Macaca mulatta: one gene and its partner. The protein of the gene in region 1 interacts with the protein of each later gene in a pairwise test. Links are inferred from orthologs where the notes say so. Each region holds a gene or a part of one and is shown in the gene's direction. Other genes may lie near its edges. The genes, in order: SEPTIN1 and AURKB.

Region 1 (8,650 bases):
GCGAGACCCTGTCTCAAAAATAAATAAAAAGAGATTACAGACGTGAGCCACTGTCTGGCCTACATTTTTTATTTTATTTTATTTTTTATTTATTTATTTATTTTTTTTTTTTTTTGAGACGGAGTCTTGCTCTGTCACCCAGGCTGGAGTGCAGTGGCCGGATCTCAGCTCACTGCAAGCTCCGCCTCCCGGGTTTACGCCATTCTCCTTTCTCAGCCTCCCGAGTAGCTGGGACTACAGGAGCCCGCCACCTTGCCCGGCTAGTTTTTTGTATTTTTTAGTAGAGGCGGGGTTTCACCGTGTTAGCCAGAATGGTCTCGATCTCCTGACCTCGTGATCCGCCCGTCTCGGCCTCCCAAAGTGCTGGGATTACAGGCTTGAGCCACCGCGCCCGGCCTTTTATTTATTTTTTTAATACAGATCGGGTCTTGCTATGTTGACCAGACTGCTCCTGAACTCCTAGCCTCAAGCAATCCTCCCACCTCAGCCTCCCAAAGCACTGGGATTACAGGCATGAGCCATCACGCCCAACTTTTTTTTTTTTTTTTTTTGAGACAGAGTCTCGCTCTGTCACCCAGGCTGAAGTGCAGTGGCACAGTCTCAGCTCACTGCAAGCTCCACCTCCTGGGTTCACGCCATTCTCCTGCCTCAGCCTCCCAAGTAGCTGGGACTACAGGTACCCGCCACCATGCCCGGCTAATTTTTTGAATTTTTAGTAGAGACGGGGTTTCACCGTGTTAGCCAGAATGGTCTCGATCTCCTGACCTCATGATCCGCCTCATGATCAGCCTCCCAAAGTGCTGGGATTATAGGCATGAGCCACCACGCCCAGCCCAACTTTTTTTTTTTTTCCTTTAAACATGTTATTCTGCCGGGCGCGGTGGCTCACGCCTGTAATCCCAGCACTTTGGGAGGCCGAGACGGGCGGATCACGAGGTCAGGAGATCGAGACCATCCTGGCTAACACGGTGAAACCCCGTCTCTACTAAAAAATACAAAAAACTAGCCGGGCGAGGTGGCGGGCGCCTATAGTCCCAGCTACTCGGGAGGCTGAGGCAGGAGAATGGCGTGAACCCGGGGGGCGGAGCTTGCAGTGAGCTGAGATCAGGCCACTGCACTCCAGCCTGGGTGACAGAGCGAGACTCCGTCTCAAAAAAAAAACAAAAAAACAAAAAAAACATGTTATTCTGTCAAAGGCTGTTGAATAACTCAGAGAAGAATTGATCAGGATCTGAACCCAAAGCAGGTTAATGGCATGGAGAGTGTGGAGAAAAGGGGACCAATTTTTCTGAAGGATAGGCGGGAATTGGAAACTCACTGGAAACACTTGCGGGGAGTGAGGGTGGGAGGAGTTCAGATTTTTTTTTTTTTGAGACAGAGTCTTGCTCTGTCGCCAGGCTGGAGTGCAGTGGTGCGATCTTGGCTCACTGCAACCTGCGCCTCCTGGGTTCAAGTGATTCTTGTGCTTCAGTCTCCCGAGTAGCTGGGATTACAGGCATGTGCAACCACACCCAGCTAATTTTTGTATTTTAGTAGAAACGGGGTTTCACCATGTTGGCCAGGATGGTCTCGATCTCCCGACCTCCTGATCTGCCTGCCTTGGCCTCCCCAAATCCTGGGATTACAGGTGTGAACCACCATGTCCTGCTGAGTTCAGAATTTTAACTAAGACCATAGAGATGCTCAGCCTGGTGAGAGATGCAGGAGGAAGGCCGGTGGTGGAGTGCTCAGAGGTAACATGATCCCTGCCCTTTGCTTATTTATTTATTTATTTATTTATTTATTTATTATTTGAGAAAGAGTTTTGCTCTTGTCACCCAGATTGGAGTGCAATGGCACGATCTCGGCTCACTACGACCTCCGCCTCCCAGGTTCAAGTGATTCTCCTGCTTCAGCTCCTGTGTAGCTGGGATTACAGGCATGCGCCACCACGCCCGACTAATTTTGTATTTTTAGTAGAGTCAGGGTTTCTCCATGTCGGTCAGGCTGGTCTTGAACTCCTGACCACAGGTGATCTGCCCGACTTGGCCTCCCAAAGTGCTGGGATTACAGGAATGAGCCACCACGCCCGGCATATTTATTTATTTTTTTGAGATGGAGTCTTGCCCTGTCGCCCAGGCTGGAGTGCAGTGGCAGGATCTTGGCTCACTGCAACCTACGCCTCTCAGGTTCTAGCAATTCTCCTGCCTCAGCCTCCCTAGTAGCTGTGATTACAGGCACGCACCACCACACCTGGCTAATTTTTGTATTCTTAGTAGAGACGGGGGTTTCACCATGTTGGCCAGGCTGGTCTCCAACTCCTGAACTCAAGTGATCCGCCTGCCCTGGCCTCCCAAAGTGCTGGAATTACAGGCGTGAGCCACTGCGCCCAGCTACCCTTTCCAGATTCTTAACAGTCCCTAGATGGTATTAAGTAGCATTTTTGTTTGTTTTTGTTTTTTGAGACGGAGTCTTGCTCTGTAACCAGGCTGGAGTGCAGTGGCATGATCTTGGCTCACTGCAACCTCCACCTCCTGGGTTCAAGCAATTCTCCTGCCTTAGTAGCTGGGACTTAGTACCTTAGTAGCTGGGACTACAGGCACACGCCACCATGCCCAGCTAATTGTTTGTATTTTTAGTAGAGATGGAGTTTCACCATGTTGGCCAGGATGGTCACGATCTCTTGACCTCGTGATCTGCCCAACTCGGCCTCCCAAAGTGCCGGCATAACAGGTGTGAACCACCGTACCCGTCCTGGGGTAGATTTGTTTGCTTGTTTGTTTGAGATAGGGTCTTGCTCTGTCGTCCAGGATGGAGTGTAGCAGTGCAGTCTCGGCTTACTGCAACCTCCATGTCCTGGGTTCGAGCAATTTTCTTGCCTCAGATTCCCAAGTAGCTGGAATTATAGGCACACACCACCACGCTTGCTAATTTTTGTATTTTGCTAGACAGGGTCTCGCCATGTTGGCCAGGCTGGTCTTGAACTCCTGACCTCAAGTGATCCACCCACCTCGGCCTCCCAAAGAGCTGGGATTACAGGCATGAGCCACCATGCCCAGCCTGGTGCTGGGAATCTGAAGAAGGAACAATGACCCTGCCTATGGTAGGTGGGGAGATTGCATAGAGGCAGAGCCCTTGGAAAGAAACACTTGAAGGATGAGGAAGAGTTTAACTGATTCGGAAAAAGGAAAAGCTCAATGTGGGTAGAGAGCCAAGGATGTTTGGAAGAGTGAGAGATGGGGTGATGAGGCCAGCTGAAGGAGGCTTTGGCAGTCAGGCCAGAATTCCGACTTGACTCTGAGTTACTGGGGAGTTCCTAAAGGATTTCGAGCAGCGGAGTTCCTTGGCCAGGATTCTGAAGGAAAATCTCTCCGGCAGTGGTTTCCAAAGATCTGGAGTCCTTTTATGAATCCATTGTCTTAGCTGGAAAATGGATGGCCTTACCCACTCCCAATCCCATCATGGCTTCTGGTCCACTTAAACCATGAGAATTTTTTTCTTTTTCTTTTTTTGAAACAGGGTCTTGCTGTGTTGCTCAGGCTGGAGTGTAGTGGTGTGATCACAGCTCACTGCAGTCTTGATCTCCTGGGCTCATGCAATCCTCCCACCTCAGCCTCCCCAGTAGCTGGGACTACAGGATTGTACCATCATGCCTGGCTAATTTTTAAAGTTTTTGTAGAGATGGTAGAGGGGCACATCCCTCTGTTGCCCAGGGTGGTCTTGAGCTCCTTGGCTCAAGCAGTCCTCCCTCCTCTGCCTCCCAAAGTGCTGAGATTACAGGCGTGAGCCACCTTGCCTGTCCTGGGAACTGGTTTTTAATCAGCTCATCAAAACCTTCATCTCACTTGCTAACAAAGGGAGCCGCTTCCTTCCTCTCTGCACATACCCCATGTCTCACCATGATAATGGAGTTACAGTGGGACTTGGAATCCAGATGTGTGAAAGATGGAGGGGTTGAAGGTGCATAGAGGGGTGATGGGCAAAGGGGTCCAGGAGGTGATAACCCCAGGTATTCTTGGCCTTGGCCTTCCCCACCTCTCTGGGACTGGGCCAGTTTGAGCATCTCAGCTGCCTCTTCTGCCCGCCCACTCGTTAGCCGCACTCAGCTTCCTGCCCCACCAGAGGAAGTGGGGAGAGACGGCAGGTGCAGTGATGGCTGGCGGAGTCATGGTGAGTCCTCATGCCCAGAAACCCAGGCATCTCGGCCCCCAGCCCCCTATGCCTAGGGTCCCCAGACCCCACTGACTCTTCCTAGCCCAGGAACTCAAATGATCCTGGGGACCCTGCCTGCCATTGCCAGCAGCCTCATATTGTCCACCCCCATCCACAGGACAAGGAGTACGTGGGTTTTGCTGCCCTCCCCAACCAGCTGCACCGCAAGTCTGTCAAGAAGGGGTTTGACTTCACACTAATGGTGGCAGGTCTGGGGGGTTTTGGAGAGGGAACTGCAGAGAGGATGCCCTTAGGAGACCCTGGTTGTCCCCTCCCCTGACCAGCTGGGCCTGTTCTGTCCACAGGGGAGTCAGGCCTAGGGAAATCCACCCTCATCAACAGCCTCTTCCTCACCAACCTCTATGAGGATCGCCAGGTGCCAGAGGCCAGTGGTAAGACCCTCCCCACCCTCCCCAGGCAGTGGCCCCTGTCCCCAGGTTACACCCTAGTCTTTTCCATCTGGGGACTCAGGTAGTTGACTACTTTTTTCTGAGACTTTCCTCCCCTGGAAAATGGGTGCAGGCAACTGTGATATTAACAAAGGAAATTAATCTTGCCTCAGAGCCTCCCTGGATCCCTGACCTCTCCCCCCTCCCACAGCTCGCTTGACACAGACCCTGGCCATTGAGCGCCGGGGTGTGGAGATCGAGGAAGGAGGTGTGAAAGTGAAGCTAACCCTTGTGGACACACCTGGCTTTGGGGACTCAGTGGACTGCTCTGACTGGTGAGGAAGAGGGAAGGGGACAGAGGCTCAGCCTCTCACAGTGGCGACTCCCTGAAGACCAACGGGTCAGTTACAGGGCTGGTTTGTGCTGGCTCCCTATTCCAAAAGGTTGTGTCTGTTTCAGAGGGTCACTGGGTCTCTGTGCTTCTTGATGACTCGCCTAGGCCCCCACCAGTTCCCTTTAATGTCTTTGGAGGGAGCCAAAGAAATGATGTTCTATTCCCACAGTCCTGGCTAGCCTCGCCCCCTGCCCTCTGGCCTTTGATCTCTGACTTCACATCCTCTTCCCACACCCAGCTGGCTTCCCGTGGTGAAATTCATCGAGGAGCAGTTTGAGCAGTACCTTAGGGATGAGAGTGGCCTGAACCGGAAGAACATCCAGGACTCCCGCGTCCATTGCTGCCTCTACTTCATCTCACCCTTTGGCCGGGGGTCTGGTGGGGGGATCCTGGGGGCTGGGGCATTTAGGGAGGGCTGGGGGGGTCTCTGCCCCCTGAGGCTGGGCACTGACCAATCCCTGGGTGCAGGCTCCGGCCCCTAGATGTGGCCTTCCTTCGGGCGGTACACGAGAAAGTCAACATCATCCCAGTCATTGGCAAAGCGGATGCCCTGATGCCCCAGGAAACCCAGGCCCTCAAGCAGAAGGTGTGAGTGATGACCTCTGGCCTTTGACCCCAAGTGAGGCCAAACCTGATTTCAGCTTAGACTTCTTTGATCTTATTATTATTTTTTTTTGAGACGGAGTCTCCCTGTGTCGCCCAGGCTGGAGTGTAGTGGCGTGATCTCGGCTCACTGCAAGCTCCGCCTCCCAGGTTTTCACCATTCTCCTGCCTCAGCCTCCTGAGTAGCTGGGACTACAGGCGCCCGCCACCGTGCCCGGCTAGTTTTTTGTATTTTTTAGTAGAGACGGGGTTTCACCATGTTAGCCAGGATGGTCTCGATCTCCTGACCTCGTGATCCGCCCGTCTCGGCCTCCCAAAGTGCAGGGATTACAGGCTTGAGCCACCGCGCCCAGCCGACTTCTTTGATCTTAAAGTGGCCTTTTTGGAGCATAGTGTCTCAGGCTAGATTGTAGGAGAAGCTTCTGAGGAATGTGGGTGGTAAGCTGCCAGCCAGCGTAGCCATGTCTCTGAAGGCTCAAAATAGGCTAGATATGCAGCCCCTGGGCTAGATGCCTGGCTAAGGCCTATTTGAGGGCGGGAGCATAGACATAAGAACATGGTGACTTCCATCTGGCCCCCACCCCGTGTCTTCAGAGCCCTTTTCCACTGTTTCTGCTTATATATCTCTCAGCCTCTCTCTCTTTTTTTTTTTTTTTTAGATAGAGTCTCACTCTGTGGCCCAGGCTGAGTACAGTGGCAAGATCATAGCTCACTGCAGCCTCAAATTTGTAGGCTCAAGTGATCCTCCTGCCTCAGCCTATTGAATAGCAGGGACTACAGATGAGCACCACCATGCCCAGCTAACATTTTTGGCTGGGCGTGGTGGCAGACACCTGTAATCCCAGCACTTTGGGAGGCTGAGGTCAGTGGATTACTTGAGCTGAAGAGTTTAAGACAAGCCAGGGCAACATGGCAAAACCCCATCTCTACAAAAAATATAAAAATTAGCCAGGTGTGGTGGTGTGCACTTGTAGTCCCAGCTATTCAGGAGGCTGAGATGGGAGGATCACCTGAGCCTGTGAGGTTGAGGCTGCAGTGAACCAAGATGGAGCCACTGGACTCCACCCTGGGTGATAGAGTGAAACCTTGTTTCAAAATATATATATATTTTTAGGCCGGGCGCGGTGGCTCAAGCCTGTAATCCCAGCACTTTGGGAGGCCGAGACCGGCGGATCACGAGGTCAGGAGATCGAGACCATCCTGGCTAACCCAGTGAAATCCCGTCTCTACTAAAAAATACAAAAAACTAGCCGGGCGAGGCGGCGGGCGCCTGTAGTCCCAGCTACTCGGGAGGCTGAGGCAGGAGAATGGCGTGAACCCGGGAGGCGGAGCTTGCAGTGAGCTGAGATCCGGCCACTGCACTCCAGCCTGGGCGACAGACCGAGACTCCGTCTCAAAAAAAAAAAAATAAATAAAAAAAAATAAAAAATATATATATATATATATATTTTTTTTCTTTGTAGAGATGGGATCTAGCTATATTGCCCAGGCTTCTCCTGGTCTCTTAATGTCTGCCCCATATTAGAATCTTGTGTTTCTCACCATCTATGTCTCTGAGATTTTGTTTTTGTCTTCCTGTACGTCCATCTCTCCCCATCTCTGTCTTTCATGTCTTTCTGTCTCTGACCAGCCAGTATCTCTGTGTCTCCCTGTCTCTGGTCATGCAATGTCTGTCATTGTGGCCTGTTTCACACTGTCTCTGTATCTGTTTCCCCTGAGATCCGGGATCAGTTGAAGGAGGAGGAGATCCACATCTACCAGTTCCCTGAATGTGACTCTGACGAAGATGAAGACTTCAAGAGGCAGGATGCAGAGATGAAGGTGTGGGAGACAAAGAAGGAAGGCAGGCTGGGCACGGTGGCTCACGTCTGTAATCCCAGCACTTTGGGAGGCTGAGGCAGGCGGATCCCCTGAGGTCAGGAGTTCGAGACCAGCCTGGGCAACATGGCGAGACCCCGCCTCTACTAAAAACACAAAAATTAGCCAGGTGTGGTGGCGGGCACCTGTAATTCCAGCCACTCGGGAGGCTGAGGCAGGAGAATCACTTGAACACTCCAGCCTGGGCAATGGAGCGAGACCCTGTCTTAAAAGAAAAAAAAAAATAAAGAGGAAGGGGCAGGAAGCAGAGGAGGTGGGTGTGGAGATTGAAGCTGGGAAAGAGAAAGTTTCTGCCATGTGGGCCAGCGGTGACCCCTGCCCCCTGCCCTCCAGGAAAGCATCCCTTTTGCAGTCGTGGGTTCATGCGAGGTGGTGAGGGATGGCGGGAAGCGACCGGTGAGGGGACGCCGCTACTCCTGGGGGACCGTGGAGGGTGAGTGAGGCCAGGCAGGGTTCCTAAGGCCAGCAAGGAGCCCGGGGCCTCTGGGTCAGGCGCACTCAACATGTGAAGTTGGGGTGGGCTTTGGTCCCAGGGGATCCTAGGGGGAAAGGGGTTCTCCTTTCCATGGGCTGCAGACCGCGGACCCTCCGCCAGAGTGGCAGCAGGACTTCCCTGTTGACCCGACCCTACGGGTGGGTGGGACCCGAAACTCCCTGACGTTCGCTGGTCCGCGCCGCCCCCCCTCCAGTGGAGAACCCACATCACTGCGATTTCCTGAACCTGCGACGGATGCTGGTGCAGACACACCTGCAGGACCTGAAAGAGGTGACGCACGATCTGCTCTACGAGGGCTACCGGGCCCGCTGCCTACAGAGCCTGGCCCGGCCTGGGGCTCGCGATCGAGCCAGCCGCAGGTGAGACCCGGGGCCGACAGTCTCGGAGCCTCCAAGGTCCCGCCTCACCCAAGACCCTGCCCTGAGGCCCCGTCCCCACCACCCGTGAGTCCGCCTTCACCACTCAGACCTCTCTCTCCCTCCCTCCCTCTCTCCCTCCCTCCCTCTCTACCTTCCTCCCTCTCTCCCTCTCCCTCTCTCCCCACCGGCTTTGCCTCCGGCCCTAACCTCAGGGACCTGGCTCCGCCTCCTAGACCCCAACCTCACCCCAGGCCCTGCCTCCTGGGCCTCACCCACAACCTCAGGCCCTGCTCCTGATTCCTGTCCCCTTCCCACTGTCCCGCAGTAAGCTTTCCCGCCA
Region 2 (8,543 bases), on another chromosome or scaffold:
CCTTCAGAGCATGGTTAAGCCCATATGTTGGTGTTTACACACTTTTATGGCAGTAATATCCTATATTAAGATTCGAGGTAGGTCATATTAACAACTGGCCGGTTAGCTCAGTTGGTTAGAGCGTGGTGCTAATAACGCCAAGGTCGCGGGTTCGAGCCCCGTACGGGCCAGAGGGTGGTTTGTTGTTTTCTAACCTTGTGCTGTTGTCCGGAAGTTTCTGCCCAGAGCTAGTTGCTTTCTGATAACAGAATTACATTACACCTACTGCTGCTTATTTATTCCCTGAATCACCAGCGCTCCCGAAGGTTTGGAAGGGAGGTGCCTCTGAGCACCCAGGTGAAAGGAAGTTTCCCGTGCAGCCGCCGCGTCTTTTCTTCCCTGGAAACTCGTTGGAGGCAGATGTTGTTGAGTCAAGGGAAGTAAGAAAGGCATTGGATGAAACTAAGGAAAGAGGCCTTGTAGTCGTGGCCGAGTGGTTAAGGCGATGGACTAGAAATCCATTGGGGTCTCCCCGCGCAGGTTCGAATCCTGCCGACTACGTGAGATTTTTCTGACCGTATTTCTCTCCTCCAGGACGGGATGAGCCAGTCGGCACCCTCCAAACCTATCATCTAGGAATTCTAGAATCGAGAATTTGATTTGGAGGCTATGATTTTGGTTTGAAATGTATTAACTTCTTTCAAAATTGAAGGAAATCCCAGGAATGGATGAGTGATGCAAGAGCCAGTTTACTTACCAAATTAATTCTAATCTGAATTAGGTCTGAAAAACCTGGGTCCAGGTTCCCCGCAGTATATTCTTGTAGACGAATTTCAAAATCCTTAAGGGCAGCCTTGGCGCCGTGGCTTAGTTGGTTAAAGCGCCTGTCTAGTAAACAGGAGATCCTGGGTTCGAATCCCAGCGGTGCCTTTATTCAATTGAAATAGCGTAATTTTGCAGCTGAATCCTCATCCCTTAATAGATTCATGGATTGTTTTTATATCAGAACGCGCAAGAGTTTCTGTTCTGCACTCAGAGCACCCAAATTTCCTGCTGAGTCGACTTGCCACTCCTATGATATCGCCACTCTAAAAGGTGGTTCTCTAACTGGGGCAGAAATGCTGCATAGGCGTAAGGGTACTTTGCCCAACTGATGCCACACCCTACTGGTGCAGGTGGACTGGGTCTGGTGGCTGCCCTACCCTTGACGGAAGAGGCTGCCCACCTTCCAGGCCTCTTTCCCTACCCTAGGACATTCCCTAGAACCTGAGCCACTTTGTTTTGTTTGGCTCTTCATTATGTTTATTTGGGTTTGGTGGCTCATAATTTTATATTATACATATAGTATGTAATATATATTTATATATACAGTGTTTAAAATTTGGCACAGCTTCTAGATGCGGTTCTCTAACTGGTCTTTCACATGCAGTTACCTCCATCCCTCTCCACTAGCGGGATGTCAGGGTAAGGAGTAAGCAGGGATCCGGCTGGCTTGGCCTGGCACCAGGTTTCCTGCAGGAGGGTGCGGAAACCTAAGGCCATGTGGACAGAGACAAGAAAGCGTGTCATTCGGGAGTCCCTAGGAAGCCTGGTGTGGAAGGGCAGGGCACGCTTCTGGAGCACTGAAGCTAGGCTGGTTAAGGTAGAAATAAATGCAGGAGAGAAGGCAAGAAATAGGATCTGTGGGGTCTTGGCAGGACCTAAACCTCCTTGGAAGATAGGCAGAAAGCTCTCGACACAATTCCATGGCCCACAAACCAACGTAAGATGGGTCTAAAAGTGGGGTCTATGTACGCACTTTTAAAATAATAAAAGTGTGGGGTATGCGGATGGGATTTCAGGGTATGTGTGAACTCTCTGGATTGTATACATATCTAGGAAGAGGGCCATAGCTTTTTTTTTTTGAGATGGAATCTCACTCTGTCACCCAGACTGGAGTGCAGTGGCACGATATTGACTCACTGCAACCTCTGCCTCCTGGGTTTGCGCAATTCTCCTACCTCAGCCTCCCAAGTAGCTGGGATTACAGGCGCGTGCCACCGTGCCGGGCTAATTTTTGTATATTTAGTAGAGACGGTGTTTCACCATTTTGGCCAGGCTGGTCTTGAACTCCTGACTTTGTGATCCACCCGCCTCAGCCTCCCAAAGTGCTGGGATTACAGGTGTGAGCCACCGCCCCCGGGGAAGAGGGTCATAGCTTTCATAAGGGTCATAAAGGATTTAGGCCTCCCCTTCTGCAGAGATTAAGTTCTTCAGACCAGGGAAGAAAGAGGTGACTGGATTATTTTGCAGAGAAAGCTGGAGCCCAAGGGGAGGGAGACAGGAATTGGAAAAGGGTAGGGATGGGGGAGGAGATGCCAGATCAGCCCTGAGAACCTCTTTACCCGTCTCAAAGACTTAGGACACTAATGGGAAAGACTGGGCTAACTTCTGCCCTTCCCCACTGTCTGCCCAGGGACACCTGGGAAAGGACAAATAGGAGCTGAATCCTTCACTGAAGGCCCCGTCAACGTATCTATGGGTTGGGCGTTAGGAACGGCCTGGCCCCACAAATCACATAACTGGGGTGTAGAACAAAATGGTTCCAGAGATGCTACCAGGCTGGTCCAGGACCGATGCAGGCCAGAACCCCGCGGGGAGGACTCCCCAGAACAGGCACTGAGCTGAGGAAAGGCAGAACACGTGGTCTGCTACTGACTCCACCAGATCTTCTGGGACTCTGGGCAGCTCCGGAGTACTGCTAAGTCCCCAAACCGGGTCTACAGGTCTTAGACCACACTCGTGAGGCCACTTGCCTCAGAGCCTTCGGGGGGGTCTTAGGAGGCAGGCAGGAAGGTCTCCTTCTAGGCCATTCTAGGAGGGGACTGGAGAGCAGAGGTTAGACCGGAGGGTAGGGGTAACCTGATCTTACAGTCCAGAAGCCACGAGACTAGTCGCCTGGCCTTGCGCCCCGCCCCACTGCAGGGTGGAAAGCCTGTCCCACTCCAGTCACCCAGATCAATAACGCCCTCCACCGTGGGTCTCCTGGGCCCCAGAAATCGTTCCCTCTTTCCCTCGCCTGGGCACTGCCACGCGGTCTGGGGAACCCGTAGTCTATCGACGGGTCTGGCCCGGGGTTTGCCCTGCCCGTTAGCCCAGGAGGATAGACAGACACGGGGAACTGGTGTTCCCCTAGTGATTTCAAGGCTCATTAACTGTCTCCGACCCGTCCCGAAAGCAAGCAACTCCACCGCTTCTCTTCAAAGCTCTGCAACGAAGGACTAGGTCCAAGGACCGCAGGCGGAGGCGGGAATTGTCAAGATCCCAGGTTACGGAATGGCACCGAGTCGGTGACCAAAGGAAGCAGGAACCCGGGTGTTCAAGGCAGTCCTCCAGGGCGGCGCGGGGGCTAGGCTGAGGCCACTCCCTTCCACTTCCTCGACGCTATTTCCTGGGAGGAGTTGGAGCTGGCGGCCCAGAGCCAAGGGACTCCCAGACCCGTGCTCCAAAATACTAGGCTTGGGGGAGGCTGGTTCCTGAGCGGCGCCAGGACCGTTCTGCCATGCATAGTGGACCCGGCACTACAGCTAGCCTGGCACGACCTCTAGGGCGGTTCGCAACGGCATTCGTACGTCGGCTCGTTGGTCTAGGGGTATGATTCTCGCTTCGGGTGCGAGAGGTCCCGGGTTCAAATCCCGGACGAGCCCTCCTTTACGTTTTGCTGAAATAAGAGTGTCTTCAAGGAATGTGTTACCTGACCAGCGCTGCAGGAGGCTTCACTGGAAATCATCAATGTACAGTAAGCTCTTTTGTGGCACCGGGGTAACAGAAAGAATCTCAGTCCCCAGACCCGCCTGGCATGTCAGGAAGAGACGAGGCACGCCCAGACTTGGGCAGGACGCTCCCTTTCTGCTTCTTGACTTCCTGCGTGGTGTCTCAACTCCGCCACTACAGCCTGGTTTCGGTTTGATTGACACCCATCAATCTATAGTTGTGGATGACAGTGTTCGGGAGAGCCCAGGAACTGTCAGAACTTGGTTCTCTGCAGCCCTGGAGGTACTCTGTCTCTTTCGGTCACTCCGTCTGACGATGGGTGCCTGAAATACACCTACAGTTTCTGGTCGGCTTTTCTCGGTGGTCGGAAGAACAGAACCCTTAGGAACTCTGCTGTCAGCAAGCCGAGTGTAAAGTCCCAGATCAAGGATTTGGAGACGACCATTGACGGGTCACTCCTCGTTAGTATAGTGGTGAGTATCCCCGCCTGTCACGCGGAAGACCGGGGTTCCATTCCCCGAGGGGGAGAATCCAAATGATTTTGCTTTCATTAAATCCGTCCTGGCCCCTGGGATGGAGCTAGAAAAAAGAGGGAAAGGAGGAGGGGAGGAAAGTTTGGCCTACCTCTCCAGCTCGCATTCTAAGTTTCCATTTTAGTTCAAGCAACTTGGAGTTCAAACGTGTACCTAAAGTGGCCACTATCTCCTCCGCTCAATATGTTCATTAGTGCTCAAACTTGATCTAGCTTGCTCCCTCCTTGACGGCAGTGCGCATTTCCAGTCTCTGCTTGAACCTGGGCAAGCAGCCATTTGGCCCCCGGCTGTCCAGGGTGCAGAGCCCGGGCTTTTGTTTCCTTTCACCTCCCTGCGTTTTGTGGATTCGCACTGCGATCCGGGAACAGTAGGCAACCCCGGGCCGAAATTCCGACAGGCTGCTCTCACCTGGAGGGGCTTGCAGGGCGCATCCGCCAGGAGCGCGGTGGTCCGGCAGTGGTCGCAGGTGTAGCGGAAAGCGGGTTCTTTCGGAGAGGACGGTTCCTCAGGAAAACCTCACGAAAATCCTCAACGATGGTGGGGCCCAGAAAACACGAGAAAGAAAAGAGGGAAAAAAAAAAATTCAAAATGCACTTGCGTTGGCCGGGAATCGAACCCGGGTCAACTGCTTGGAAGGCAGCTATGCTCACCACTATACCACCAACGCTTAGGTACTGCTGTTTTCTTTCATACCTCATGTTGATTGCGGTGAGTCGCGTTGGACCCGTGCGGAGCCAGGGAAACAGCATCAGCGAGATCCAGGTAAAAGTAATGGCTGCTGTCGTCTGCCCGGCGCAATTGTGCGTGACCTTTACCGCTAGTGCGCGCCACCCCACATGAACCTGTAGGGTTATGCCCAGTCTACAGACGAGGAAACCAAGGTCCAAAGAAGTTGAGTCACCGGCAGAGCTGGGATTACATCTAAGATCTCTCCAGGGGGCGAGAACTGCAGCGGCATCATGATGATTTATCATCTCCAGAAAAAAAAAAAAAAAAGAGTCCTAGACGCATAAAAATCGCTTCTCTGTAGAGTGGGCTCAATGAGCTCAATGTGATTCAAGTTAAGGAACTGGGCCCTAAGTCAAATGCGCCTAAACACAATTTGCCTCTTTATTATTTATTCAGATTCCTACGTACGTGCGCCCACATCTCGTCAGCTGGTGCCTCGCAGAAATGCGCTGACAAATCTTAAAGATACGGCTTCATGACAAAAGTCCTCCCCTTATTGCTGTTCAAGAGACCCCTCAAGTCACCCTCTCGGGCAGGCCTCGTGGCGCAACGGTAGCGCGTCTGACTCCAGATCAGAAGGTTGCGTGTTCAAATCACGTCGGGGTCAAACCAAACATTGTTTTCCCTAATCAAATAGATTTACGGTGACATTTTTAGGGACAGGACAAAAAAAACCTCCTCAGTAGAAGGATAGGAGGGGAATGAGACAAATGTGAACGTTATTCAGAAGTTGGGTACAATTTCAGTTGGGTACAGACTTTCAGCACTATGTGATATATCCCTGAGGCAAAACTGCACATGTACCCCTAAAGTCTATAAAAGTAAAAATAAATTTAAAAATTAAAAAAATTACTGTTGTATGGAAATTTTTTAAGAATTTTTTTCAATTATTATTGTTTGTTTGTATCTTTTTTCCCTTGAGATGGAGTTTCTCTTTTGTTGCCTAGGCTGGAATGCAATGGCACTATTTCAGCTCACCGCAACCTCCAGCCATGGGTTCAAAAGGATTCTCCTGCCTCAGCGTCCCGAGTAGCTGGGATTACAGGCATGCACCACCACGCCCGGCTAATTTTGTATTTTTAGTAGAGAGGGGGTGTCTCCATATTGGTCAGGCTGGTCTCGAACTCCCAACCTCTGGTGATCCGCCCGCCTGGGCCTCCCAAAGTGCTGGGATTACAGGTGTGAGCCACCGTGCCCAGCCTTTTTAAATGTTTTTAATAATCTCTGCTGTTCTATGTATGTTTACTTAACACTGAACACAAGGATATTAAATACAAATACTACCTTTCTCCAGACTTCCCAGCAGTCACTAGAAGCCCAGGACCACGTGCCTTTTGGCTGCTTCCAGTAAATCGAAAAACAAAACCGGTGGGGCGGGGTGGTTCATGCCTATAATCCCAGCACTTTGGGATGCCAAGGAGGGCAGATCACCTGAGGTCGGGAGTTTGAGACCAGCCTGGCCAACATGGTGAAACCCATCTCTACCAAAAATACAAAAAAATTAGCCAGGCATGGTGGCACATGCCTGTAATCCCAGCTACTTGGGAGGCTGAGGCAGGAGAATCACTTGAGCTTGGGAGGCGGAGGTTGCAGTGAGCTGAGATCATGCCATTACTCTCCAACCTGGGGGACAGAGTGAGGCTTCGTCTCAAAAAAAAAAAAAAAAAAAAAAAAGGGAAATACACTTACAGTCCTTGTTTCTCTAACTGGTCATGTAGTGGTAGTTGATAACTAGCTTCTTTTTTTTTTTTTTTTTGAGATGGAGTCTCACTCTGTCACTTAGGTTGGAGTGCAGTAGAGTGCAGGTGATTCACCTATCTCGGCCTCCCAAAGTGCTGGGATTACAGGCGTGAGCCACCATGCACAGCCATTTAAAAAATATTTTTAGTAGAGACGGGGTTTCATCATGTTGGCCAGGCTGGTCTCAAACTCCTGACATCAGGTGATCCTCCCGCCTCAGCTTCCTAAAGTGTTGGGAATATAGGCTTGTAATCCCAGCACTTTGGGAGACCGAAGTGGATGGATCACAAGGATGGGAGTTCAAGACAAGCCTGGCCAACGTGGTGAAACTCCATGTCTACTAAAAATACAAAAATTAGCCAGGCGTGGTGGCGGGCTCCTGTAGTCACAGCTACTGGGGAGGCTGAGGCAGGAAAATCACTTGAATCCGGGAGGCGGAGCTTGCAGTGAGTCGAGATTGCGCCATTGCACTCCAGCCTGGGCGGCAGAGAGACTCCATCTCAAAAAAAAAAAAAAATCCTTTATAATAAACTAGTGAACATTTTTCCCTGAGTTCTGTGAGCCACTCTAGCAAATTCATTGAACATAAAGAGAGAATTGTAGAAACCCCAACTTATACCTAGTTAGTCATAAGTACAGGTAAAACAACCTGAGGCTTGTGGTTGGCATCCAAAGTGAGGGGCAGCCTTGTGGGACTAAGCCGTCAACCTGTGGGATCTGATGCTCTCTCCAGGTAGATAGTGTCAGAATCGAATTGGAAGACTCCCGGCTGATGGCTGCTGCAGAACTATTGCTTGCTTGGTAGTGGAGTAAAATCCCCACACATGTGGTCGCAGAAGTCTCCTGTGTTGATTGCTGTGGTGTGAGGGCAGAGGAAAAATTGGGTCTTTTTTTTTTTTTTTTTTTTTTTTTTGAGACGGAGTCTCGCTCTGTCGCCCAGGCTGGAGTGCAGTGGCCGGATCTCAGCTCACTGCAAGCTCCGCCTCCCGGGTTCACGCCATTCTCCTGCCTCAGCCTCCCGAGTAGCTGGCACTACAGGCGCCCGCCACCTCGCCCGGCTAGTTTTTTGTATTTTTTAGTAGAGACGGGGTTTCACCGTGTTAGCCAGGATAGTCTCGATCTCCTGACCTCGTGATCCACCCGTCTCGGCCTCCCAAAGTGCTGGGATTACAGGCTTGAGCCACCGCGCCCGGCCTTTTTTTTTTTTTTTAGACAGATTCTTGTTGTGTTGCCCAGGCTGGAGTGCAGTGGCGTGATCTCAGCTCACTGCAACACTCCCAGGTTTAAGCAATTCTTGTGCCTCACTCAGCCTCCTGAGTAGCTGGGACTACAGGTACCTGCCACCACAACTGGCCTTTTTTTTTTTTTTTTCGAGATGGAGTCTAGCTCTGTCACCCAGGCTGGAGTGCAGTAGTGCGATCTCGATTCCCTGCAACCTCCACCTCCCGGGTTCAAGCGATTCTCCTGCCTCAGCCTCCCAAGTAGCTGGGATTACAGGCTCCTGCCACCACACCCAGCTAATTTTTGTATTTTTAGTAGAGTGGGGTTTCACTGTGTTGGCCATGCTGGTCTTGAACTCCTGACCTCGTGATCCGCCTGCCTCAGCCTTCCAAAGTGCTGGGATTACAAGCATGAGCCACCACGCCTGGCCAGAACTGGCTAATTTTTTGTATTTTAGTAGTGATGGGTTTCACCATGTTGCCCAGGGTGGTCTTGAACTCCTGAGCTCAGGCAATCCACTCTCCTGGGGCTCCTGAAGTGCTAGGATTACAGGTGTGAGCCACTGTACCCGGCCCGTTTTTTGTTTTT

The links.
Region 2: the proteins of SEPTIN1 (region 1) and AURKB interact in binary tests that used the Homo sapiens proteins (3 or more experiments, as listed by UniProt). The link is inferred for Macaca mulatta from reciprocal best matches to the Homo sapiens genes SEPTIN1 and AURKB.

Annotation. Positions count from the first base shown.
Region 1 is NC_133425.1:28,984,186-28,992,835, reverse strand, and holds the start of SEPTIN1 (septin-1), read left to right. Parts: upstream 1-3,856; 5' UTR 3,857-3,878; coding exon 3,879-3,939; intron 3,940-4,065; exon of another isoform or gene 4,066-4,075; coding exon 4,076-4,149; intron 4,150-4,309; coding exon 4,310-4,400; intron 4,401-4,496; coding exon 4,497-4,583; intron 4,584-4,791; coding exon 4,792-4,915; intron 4,916-5,212; coding exon 5,213-5,347; intron 5,348-5,442; coding exon 5,443-5,560; intron 5,561-7,296; coding exon 7,297-7,398; intron 7,399-7,788; coding exon 7,789-7,888; intron 7,889-8,144; coding exon 8,145-8,310; intron 8,311-8,635; coding exon 8,636-8,650. UniProt on the Homo sapiens protein: Filament-forming cytoskeletal GTPase. May play a role in cytokinesis.
Region 2 is NC_133421.1:9,725,048-9,733,590, reverse strand, and holds the start of AURKB (aurora kinase B), read left to right. Parts: upstream 1-3,401; 5' UTR 3,402-4,205; intron 4,206-4,860; exon of another isoform or gene 4,861-4,932; intron 4,933-5,390; exon of another isoform or gene 5,391-5,601; intron 5,602-8,543. UniProt on the Homo sapiens protein: Serine/threonine-protein kinase component of the chromosomal passenger complex (CPC), a complex that acts as a key regulator of mitosis.